2 linked regions of the Canis lupus familiaris genome follow. The protein of the gene in region 1 binds, or shares a complex with, the protein of each later gene. Links are inferred from orthologs where the notes say so. Each region holds a gene or a part of one and is shown on either strand. Other genes may lie near its edges.

Region 1 (4,456 bases):
AACTGAGCCTTTCCCAGGACCCAGAGGGCGCCAGGAATGTGGGGCAAGGAGCAGGAAGGCCAGCTGGAGGCCAGGGAGCCAGGACCCCCCCCCCTTGGCCACCCCGCTCTCCTAGACTTGTCTCCTTCCGTCTCCTGGTGCAGTACGCATCCCCCCTACTCCCTGCCCTGGCTGTGCCTTGGGGTCTCAGTTTCTCTTCTGCAAAGTGGGCATATTCACCTCTGCCCCACTTATCTCCTAGGTCCCAGGGGAGTGTGTGTTCCTGAGTGTTACTAGTTGACTAATGTGCACGAATCTGTGCTAGTGGGGGATGAGACTACTGGGGATGAGAACACTGAGAACTGGAACTCGGTTTTTAAGGCTTCCCCTCTCATGTAGATGAGATGTTCCCTGTGTTTTAGGGCAAAGGAAGAGACTGGAAATGGAGACTGTGGGAAGGTGTATGATTTGGTGGTGACCGTGACCGTGAGACCTAGTGAGGCTGTGGGTTCGAGTGTGATCACAACATGATGGTGTGTGATCCTTTGTGCATCTGTGGGGATGCGTAGGATGCTGTGATGGTGGCATCGTGGCATGTGATGTGTGTGTGACTATGTAGGACTCATGAGTGCGGGTGAGGACAGGGTGCAGAGTTGAGTGTCCGTATCCTCATGGCTCTGGATGTGACCCTGTGAGGGTGACAGCGTGACGACGTGACACCGAGAGTGTGTACTTTAGTGACAGTTGGAGAAGGTATGTTGTTGGGATATGACTGTAGACTCTGGTGACCGTGTGAACTGTGAGAGTGGTAATGGGTATGGTTGTGTGACCTTGTGTGTCACAGGTGATGGCACCAAAGGATTACATGTTTGTGAGGGACCACATATGGGTGCGTGTCTGTCATCGACGGTCATTCTTCTAGCCTCTGCTCTATGCCAAAGCTTGCTGAGTGATGCTGGGGACCTAGAGGTGACTGCCAGTGAGGAGACAGAAGGCGTTTGTGACGGGACCTAATGATTGTGTGACTGCGTGTGTGACTGCGTGTGTGACTGCCCAGGATCATCAGCACTGTGGGAAGTGGTGATTGTGTTGTTCTGTGAGTGGAGGAGCCTGCACTCCAGCTGCACGGCTGTCACTGTGGATGCCTGTCAACCTGTAGGGGAGAGACCTTGGTTCTCTGAATGTGACTGTGGATTGCGTGACTGTAAGTGACCATCAGCAAAATATATTTGCAGTGAGGCTCAGTGTGTGCCTCCGTGCTGTGCCTCTCCATGGCTTGGTGAATGGGACTACGTGTGACACTGTGTGTGGCTGCGTGACTCTGGCTGTGTGCCATGGCTGGGTGGGATGGGTGGGATGGGTGGGACAGTGTGAAAGACTGTGGGCCCGGCTCTGTGACTGCTCTTCCACGTGACCTTGAGCGGCAATGATCCTCACGTGCTGCTGGCCCCAGACTCTGGGTCTCAGCCCCAGAGCTCCCCCTCCTGCTCCCTGGCCCCGCCCTCTCCCACCACCCCAGGCTGTCAACTCCTCCAGAGCCCAGGAGAGGCAGTGGAGGCAGCAGCAGAGGCAGCAGCAGCCCGAGTGAGTGATCAAGGGAAGATCTGGGGACAGGTGAGGGCTTCCCCATCCCAGCTCGTTCCCCTGCCCTCATGTCCCACTCAAGTCCCCGGGGTCCCCTCTTTCTCTGTGTCTTAGCTCATGCTTTTGTCTCTTTGTCTCTCCGTGCCCCTCATCGTTCCGTCTGCCCGTCTCTTCATATCTCTGTCTCCGTGTCTCCGATCTCTGTTTAGCCTCTGGATGGCTCGGTTTCTCTACGTTTATCTCTCCTTGGATCATTTTCTGTGTCTCTCACCAGGTCTCTATCCCCTGTTTGTTTCCTAACCCACATTTTTGTCTGTCTTCTGCTTTCTGGTCTCTTGCTGTGTTATCTCATTCTGTTCAGTTTATGTATTTCTGTCTTAACCATTTCTGGGGCTCCCTCTGAGATCTTCCCCGCTTCCCCCTTTCTTCACATGGTGCTGTGGGGGAGTTACTGGGGTTAGACAGATTTTCAGGCATGTGGGCCCCTGCAAACCTAAGCCCAGAGTCTGGCTCCTCTCTAGTCCCTAGGGAGAGGGTTGTTCCATGGACTCTGGGCTTTATCCACAGCGGGCAAGTTTTTTTTTTTTTTTTTTTTTTTTTTAGATTTTATTTATTTATTTGAGAGAGAGAGAAACAGAGACAGAGACAGAGCACAAATAGGGGGAGGGGCAGAGGGAGTGAAGCAGATGCTGCTGAGCTCAGAGCCCGCCCGATATGGCGCTTGATCTCAGGACTCCGGGATCATGAACTGAGCAAAGGCAGACCCTTAACCTATTGAGCTTCCCAGGTGCCCCTACAGCGGTCAAGTTTTATAAGGTCGGGATCCTCCCGATCTGCCATTTGAAAACCCTCTGGGCTTGGAGAGTGGGAACTCCGACGGTTATTTCTAGCTCATGCCAGACAGTTTCTATGCCTTCCTCTCCAAGGCAGCCCCCAGATTCTCCAGAACCTCTAGGTCTAGACTCAGGGTGACATTAGCGCTTCCGCTGGGAGCAGCTCTAGGGCAACCGCGCCCTCAGCAAACACCCCCCTTCCACCGCTGCTGCCCCAGCAACAGTTGGGGGCGGGCCTAGGAATCACGTGCTGGATCTTGGCCTCGCCCACCCTCCCCCACCCCTCGAGTCATCACTTCTGGGGGCCTGGGGAGGGGGCCCCTGCCTCCTAGTCCGCTTATTTGAAGCTCAGAGCGGGTGGCGCTGGGGCTGGAGGCGGAGGTCAGAGGCTCCTGACTCTGCCTCCTGACCCTTCAGGCCGGACTGCCCCTACGCGACCAGGCCCTCGCCCCCCATGCCCTGCCGCCCTCGCAATGTCGATCTGTCCGCCTTGGCGGCTGCTACTGCTGCTCTCGTCGTGGAGGCCGCTGCTCGGGAGGGCGGAGGTGAGGACCCGAGGAGCCGCAGGAGTTCAAGGCTAGAAGGGAGGTCTAGGGACGGTTTTAAGTCTCCCCGCGCTGCAAGAGAGAGTTTTAAGACTGCCTAGATTCAAGTTGTTTCCAGTCTCTCTTCTTTCCCCTTCAAATCCTCCTGATGATTTCCAGCCACTCCTTCCCCTAATTTTGCTGAAAGTTTTCAGCCCTCCACAGCAACTCCGCTGGTCTAGGCACCCCTCCAGACTCAGAAGAGAGTTCTAAGCCACCCAAGACTCCCGGACAAAACAAGGCAACCTCTTCAAATCCCTGTAGCGTGTCTCTAGCCCACTTGAACCCTGCTGCCTGAGAGTGGGGATCGGTCGAGTGTGTGTGGGGTGTCCTCCCTGCTCTCTTTCCATAGACAGACTCTGTCGGTCAGACGGCGGGGGAGCTGTACCAGCGCTGGGAACGGTACCGCAGAGAGTGCCAGGAGACACTGGAAGCCGTGGACCCCCCAGCAGGTGTGACTGGGAGCGGGGACCGGGGGTGCGGGAAGGACTAGGGCCGAGGGGGGTGTGCTTGAGTCGGGCTAGGGCTGACGGTTCAGGGGGGCCTGAAGGAAGTCTGGGGTAGGGGTGGGCTGGGTTGGAGCTGCCTGAGTGATGCTTGGCTTGGGTGGGAAGGACCTAGACCTGAATGCGCGGAGGGACGCAACTCCGACCAGTGGGAGAGGCCTGGGAAGAAGCTTGAAATGGGCGGGGCCTCGGGCGGGGCTGCACGCGGTGGGCGGGGCCGAAGGGCGCGAGTGGGGCGGAGCCTGGGGTCTGGTGAGAGGGGCGGCGGCCGGGCCGGCCCCGGGCCACTCCAGGTGGGCGGGGCTAGGGAGGAGCTTGCTTGTGATCCGCCGAGAAGCCTTGGGTTATGTTCAGTCTGTCCTCCCGACGTCCGGCCTCCACGCCCACCCCAGACCTCGCCTGTAACGCGTCCTTCGATATGTACGTCTGCTGGGACTACGCTGCACCCAACGTCACCGCCCGTGCGTCCTGCCCCTGGTACCTGCCGTGGCACCGTCACGGTGAGGTGCCCCCTGGACCCCAGGCCCTTCCCTGACAAAATTAACTTCTAACCCTGCCCCAGACACCACTGCACCCCTCCCCACCCCCCCACTGCGAGTTCGCCTACACTTGATCTCCTGCTCCTCTCTGGCTGGGTGTCTCCGTCTGCCTGACCAACCCTGGCTCTGCCACTTAGTGCCCCTTCTCTCTCCATCTCTCTGAGGATCACGGAGTTCTTATTTTCTCTGGGCGTCTTGGTCTTTCCATCCTAACTGGCTATTTGGCCTGGAGCAATTTATTTAACTTCTTTATGCCTCAGCTCCTTTTTTTTTTTTAATAAATATTTTATTTATTTATTCATGAGAGGGATCCCTGGGTGGCGCAGCGGTTTGGCGCCTGCCTTTGGCCCAGGGCGCGATCCTGGAGACCCCGGATCGAATCCCACGTCAGGCTCCCGGTGCATGGAGCCTGCTTCTCCCTCTGCCTATGT
Region 2 (4,237 bases), on another chromosome or scaffold:
CCTACAACCCCAGCCCCGTGGAGATCCTCTGGGAGCCCCTACATCTTCAATGATCCCTCTCCTTAGAGGAAGGATTAGAAAGAAAGGGTTGGAAGAAGAAAAGGATTGGAAAGCTTAGTCCCACCCCAGACTGGGCCAGTGCCCGAGCCCCAGTCAGGACCATGGTGTTGCCCAGCTCCCCATCAGTACCTAAGCCAAAGTTACCACCCAGAATCACAGGCCCGCTTGGCGTCTAGTCTAAACGAAGGAAGGTATGGCCAGCCGGTGCAGAGGAGGGAGTGTGGGCATTAACTCACTCATTCTTCTTCCCCTTCTGGGCCAGCAGCCAGTTCACAAAGTCTTGTTGGCGGATCTTGTCCATGGCGATACTGTAGTCACTGATGAAAGTCCCCTCGGCGTACCTGGGGCCTCGAGGTCGGGAGCCACTGACCTTAGTGTGGAATCTGAGGAGCAGGGAGGAGAGAGAGGGAGAAACCAGGCTCTACACGAAGGGAACCACAATGCGGGGGCAGGTGATTGTTATTGACCAGAGGCAGGTGTTTGAAAACAGCCACCTCCCACCACCCCCATTTCTTGGGAGTCAGATTTTTGTGGGATTTTTTGTTTTATGGGTTTTGTTTTGTTTTTAAAGATTTTACTTATTTATTCATGAGAGACACACACACACAGAGAGAGAGAGGCAGAGACATAAGCAGAGGGAGAAGCAGGCTCCATGCAGGGAGCCGGATGTGGGACTCGATCCCAGGTCTCCAGGACCACGCCCTGGGCCGAAGGTGGCACTAAACCACTGAGCCACTCGGGCTGCCTGTCTTATGGGTTTGTTTTTTTTTTTTAAGATTTTTATTTATTCATGAGAGACACACAGAGAGAGGCAGAGACATAGACAGAGGGAGAAGCAGACTCCCTGTGGGCAACCTGATACCAGACTCTGATCCCAGAGCCCCAGGATCACAACCTGAGCCAAAGACAGATGCTCAACTGCCGAGCCACCCAGGTGCCCCTTGGGAGTCAGTTTTATGGAGGCAGCCCCTTGTCTATGCATCAAGCCCCTCGGGCTTTATCCTCAGCTCAAGAGCCCACTTTCTGCATCCTCAGTTTGTGTGACTCTGGGTTCTGGACAAACAGGGATCAGGGGTTCCCTTCATCCCAAAGGATGGGTTCCCTTCATCCCAAAGGATCTCACTTTCCTCCTTTACTCCTCCTGCCTTGGCTCACCCCGATTCAAGTCTTTATTCCCAGTCAGTATGAACAATAGGAGCTCTTCCATAAGGGCACTCACTGTATGCCAGGTCCTCTCTCAGCCCTTTACTGCATAGACTCATTTGATCTTCGAAACACCCCTATGAGGTCAACACTATTTCTATGCCCTTTTTGTGAATGAGGAAACCAAGGTACAGAGAGATTAATCTAGCACTCCATGAAGGTGGGGGTCTGGGCCCAGATCTAAGTTTGCAATATATATATATATATATATATATATAAAAGAAGCAGGTTCCATACTTCTCCCTCTGCCTGTGTCTCTGCCTCTGTGTCTCTTATGAATAAATAAAATCTTTTAAAAAAAAATAAAGAGGGGAATCCCTGGGTGGCTCAGTGGTTTAGTACCTGCCCTTGGCCCAGGGTGTGATCCTGGAGTCCTGGGATCAAGTCCCACATCAGGCTCCCTGCATGGAGCCTGCTTCTCCCTCTGTTCTCTGCCTCTCTGTGTGTGTGTGTGTGTGTGTGTGTGTCTCATGAATAAATAAATAAAATCTTTAAAAAATTTAAAAAAAATTAAAAAAAATAAAGATTTTAAGAGAAGGGGAGTGAGCACAAGCAGGGGAGGAGCAGGAGAGAGAAGCAGGCTCCCTGCAGAACACGGAGCCGATGATGTGGGACTGGATCCCAGGACCCTGGGATCATGACCTGAGCCTAAGGCAGATGCTTAACCGACTGAGCCATCCAGGCGCCCCTAAGTTTGCAAATTCTTTTTTTTTTTTTTTTATTTTTTATTTTTTTTTATTTATGATAGTCACAGAGAGAGAGAGAGAGAGAGAGGCAGAGACACAGGCAGAGGGAGAAGCAGGCTCCATGCTCCGGGAGCCCGATGTGGGATTCGATCCCGGGTCTCCAGGATCGGGCCCTGGGCCAAAGGCAGGCGCCAAACCGCTGCGCCACCCAGGGATCCCAAGTTTGCAAATTCTATGTGATGTTGACTTGTACCTGACAGCCATGCCTCACATCTACATGACTGGATTTAGAGGGCATAGGACTAGTCCTTGCATCTGACAAGGCCCAGCTGTTTACCCAGACAAGTATCTCTTGGTCCTCCAGAGAACAAACAGAGCCCCCTCCCCCATTTGCTCATGACATTCTGCTCCCCACCGCCCCCCACCCAAGTGTCCCTGAGAGTCTGCCACTGGCCTGGGTGGCTCTTTGCTTTCCTTGGGAGCCTGTGTGTTCCCTGAGGCATTCTGCACACGTGAATGATGAATGGCTAAGGCTTTCATCAGGAAGGGAGACCCTGTTGTACACTTCAGACACTTAACCCCGGAGAAGTCCTTCCAGAGATCTAACCACAGTTTGTCCTGTGGCAACAGTAGCTCAAAATAAACCCTCTGGATTCTGTCCTTACTCCACACACAGACTGCCGGCGGGGTTCTCCCTCCCGCTTCTTTCCTCTTGGCTTGGGGTTCCTCCCCTTCCCACCTCCCCCCTGAACGCCAGAAGCAGCTCATCCTCCCCAGCCTCCTTCCCTGTGCCCAACCCCTCCCCTGCACCCCTACCTAGAGTGACCGGCTGCCTTCTCTCCCATCACCACCACCAGGAGCAGGGTCGCCAGCAGGAGACTGAAGATCTTCATGGCCACCATCTTCCAAGGGTGATTTCCTGAGCCAGGAGAGAAAAGGGATGAGGATGAGGGAAGCACTGTGTCCAGGCACAGCCTTCAGGCCGCCCAGGTACTGCTGATGCCTCAGAGCCTCTGTGGCTTCTGCCGGCGGGGGGCACTGAGCTCCGGGGGTCAGGGCTTTTCTGAGAGGCTAGAACAACACTTGGGGGGCTGCCGGGGGGGCTGGGTGTTGGAGTCAGATACTAGAAGGGTCACGGAGCCTGGCCAGGAGGAGGACCTGCTTTTTGTTGTGAAGTCTGAGTTGGGGAGGGCAGGGGGTAGAGGTCCAGGCAGAAGAGAGCAGCTAAGACCCCTGACAGCCTCCTTCCTGGCTCCAGTGGCTGGACGTCAAAGGCATGTGGCCTGGCGAGACTCCCCATACAGCCCCCCAAAGTCCATACCAGCCCTGCTTCCAGCTGTGGGATTGGCTGTCACCTAAACCATCACAGCTCTCTCACCCCAAGTGAAAGGCACAGGTAGGACCATTCCATCCTCTCCTCCCTGGGGTTCACTATCTCTGTGCAGGGAAGCTCTTCTTGGGGTCCTGCTGCAGGAAGATGAGGTCTGGTGGCCCAAATAGCTCTAGGTCTAACTTTGGTCTTCAGAGCTGGGAGGAAGGTTCCTTACTTACTGCTCTTCACCCCTACAGAAGACCCCCTGGATGAAATGGGACCAGGCCTCATTCATCCTCCTGCCTTTGTCACTAGGTGTTACAGGAATCCTGAGAGCCGCCTTCTTATTTCTTAGAATGTGAGATGCAAGGATGCCAAGCATCTCTGGGTGCCAAGACCCACTGCCTCTCCAGTATCCTCTCCACCCATCCCCTGTCCCAGCCGCTCTCTCACCTGGCTTCCTTTCCAGCTCTTCCAGAAGGACAGGGCAGGGGTTTCTTCCTCCTACCTTCTGGTCCTTTGGAGCCTGTCTCAAGAAAGTCTGCTGTAACTCCTTTATATCCAGGCATCACACACCTGCTGATTAGCCTAAAAGCGTCTTATCTCAAGAAATTAAGTCCACAGCTCCCGCCACATTAAGTCCATTTTACGCGTAATAAAGTTGCCCTTTCCACTTGAACTGTGCTAATCGATGATTAACATTTGGGTATCTCCAGTTCCCTACGGGGGTAGGACGCCTTAAGTGTCCTCTTTCTTCTCCCCCCTCCTCCCTTCTGGGCACAGGGCCCTGTATTCTTCTAGCCTCACTTCCTTTCCAGGTGTCCCCAGTTGGAAAGGGGGCCCTGGGTGAGGGCAGACTTGGGTCGGGTGGCACTAGCTGGGGAAGGACCCCTCCCATAGGCAACAGGCTACCCTGGGGTCCGAGAGAGTGGGGCACAGTTGTTTGAACCCCAGCTCTGGATAGTGGCACACAGCT

The links.
Region 2: the proteins of GIPR (region 1) and GIP are in contact, whole or in part, in a cryo-EM structure (PDB 7RA3), measured with the Homo sapiens proteins. The link is inferred for Canis lupus familiaris from reciprocal best matches to the Homo sapiens genes GIPR and GIP. Residues at the interface, in NP_000155.1 of Homo sapiens: Gln30, Thr31, Ala32, Leu35, Tyr36, Trp39, Tyr68, Trp71, Leu88, Trp90, Arg101, Arg113, His115, Asn120, Gln130, Arg131, Leu134, Glu135, Leu137, Gln138, Tyr141, Tyr145, Arg183, Ile187, Arg190, Asp191, Pro197, Gly198, Pro199, Tyr200; in NP_004114.1 of Homo sapiens: Tyr52, Ala53, Glu54, Gly55, Thr56, Phe57, Ile58, Ser59, Asp60, Tyr61, Ser62, Ile63, Ala64, Met65, Asp66, Lys67, Ile68, His69, Gln70, Gln71, Phe73, Val74, Trp76, Leu77, Leu78, Lys81.

Annotation. Positions count from the first base shown.
Region 1 is NC_049222.1:110,618,716-110,623,171, reverse strand, and holds the start of GIPR (gastric inhibitory polypeptide receptor), read left to right. Parts: upstream 1-1,517; 5' UTR 1,518-1,593; intron 1,594-2,813; 5' UTR 2,814-2,869; coding exon 2,870-2,941; intron 2,942-3,332; coding exon 3,333-3,432; intron 3,433-3,878; coding exon 3,879-3,986; intron 3,987-4,456. UniProt on the Homo sapiens protein: This is a receptor for GIP. The activity of this receptor is mediated by G proteins which activate adenylyl cyclase.
Region 2 is NC_049230.1:25,120,742-25,124,978, forward strand, and holds the start of GIP (gastric inhibitory polypeptide), read right to left. Parts: upstream 2,857-4,237; 5' UTR 2,852-2,856; coding exon 2,766-2,851; intron 444-2,765; coding exon 297-443; intron 1-296. UniProt on the Homo sapiens protein: Potent stimulator of insulin secretion and relatively poor inhibitor of gastric acid secretion.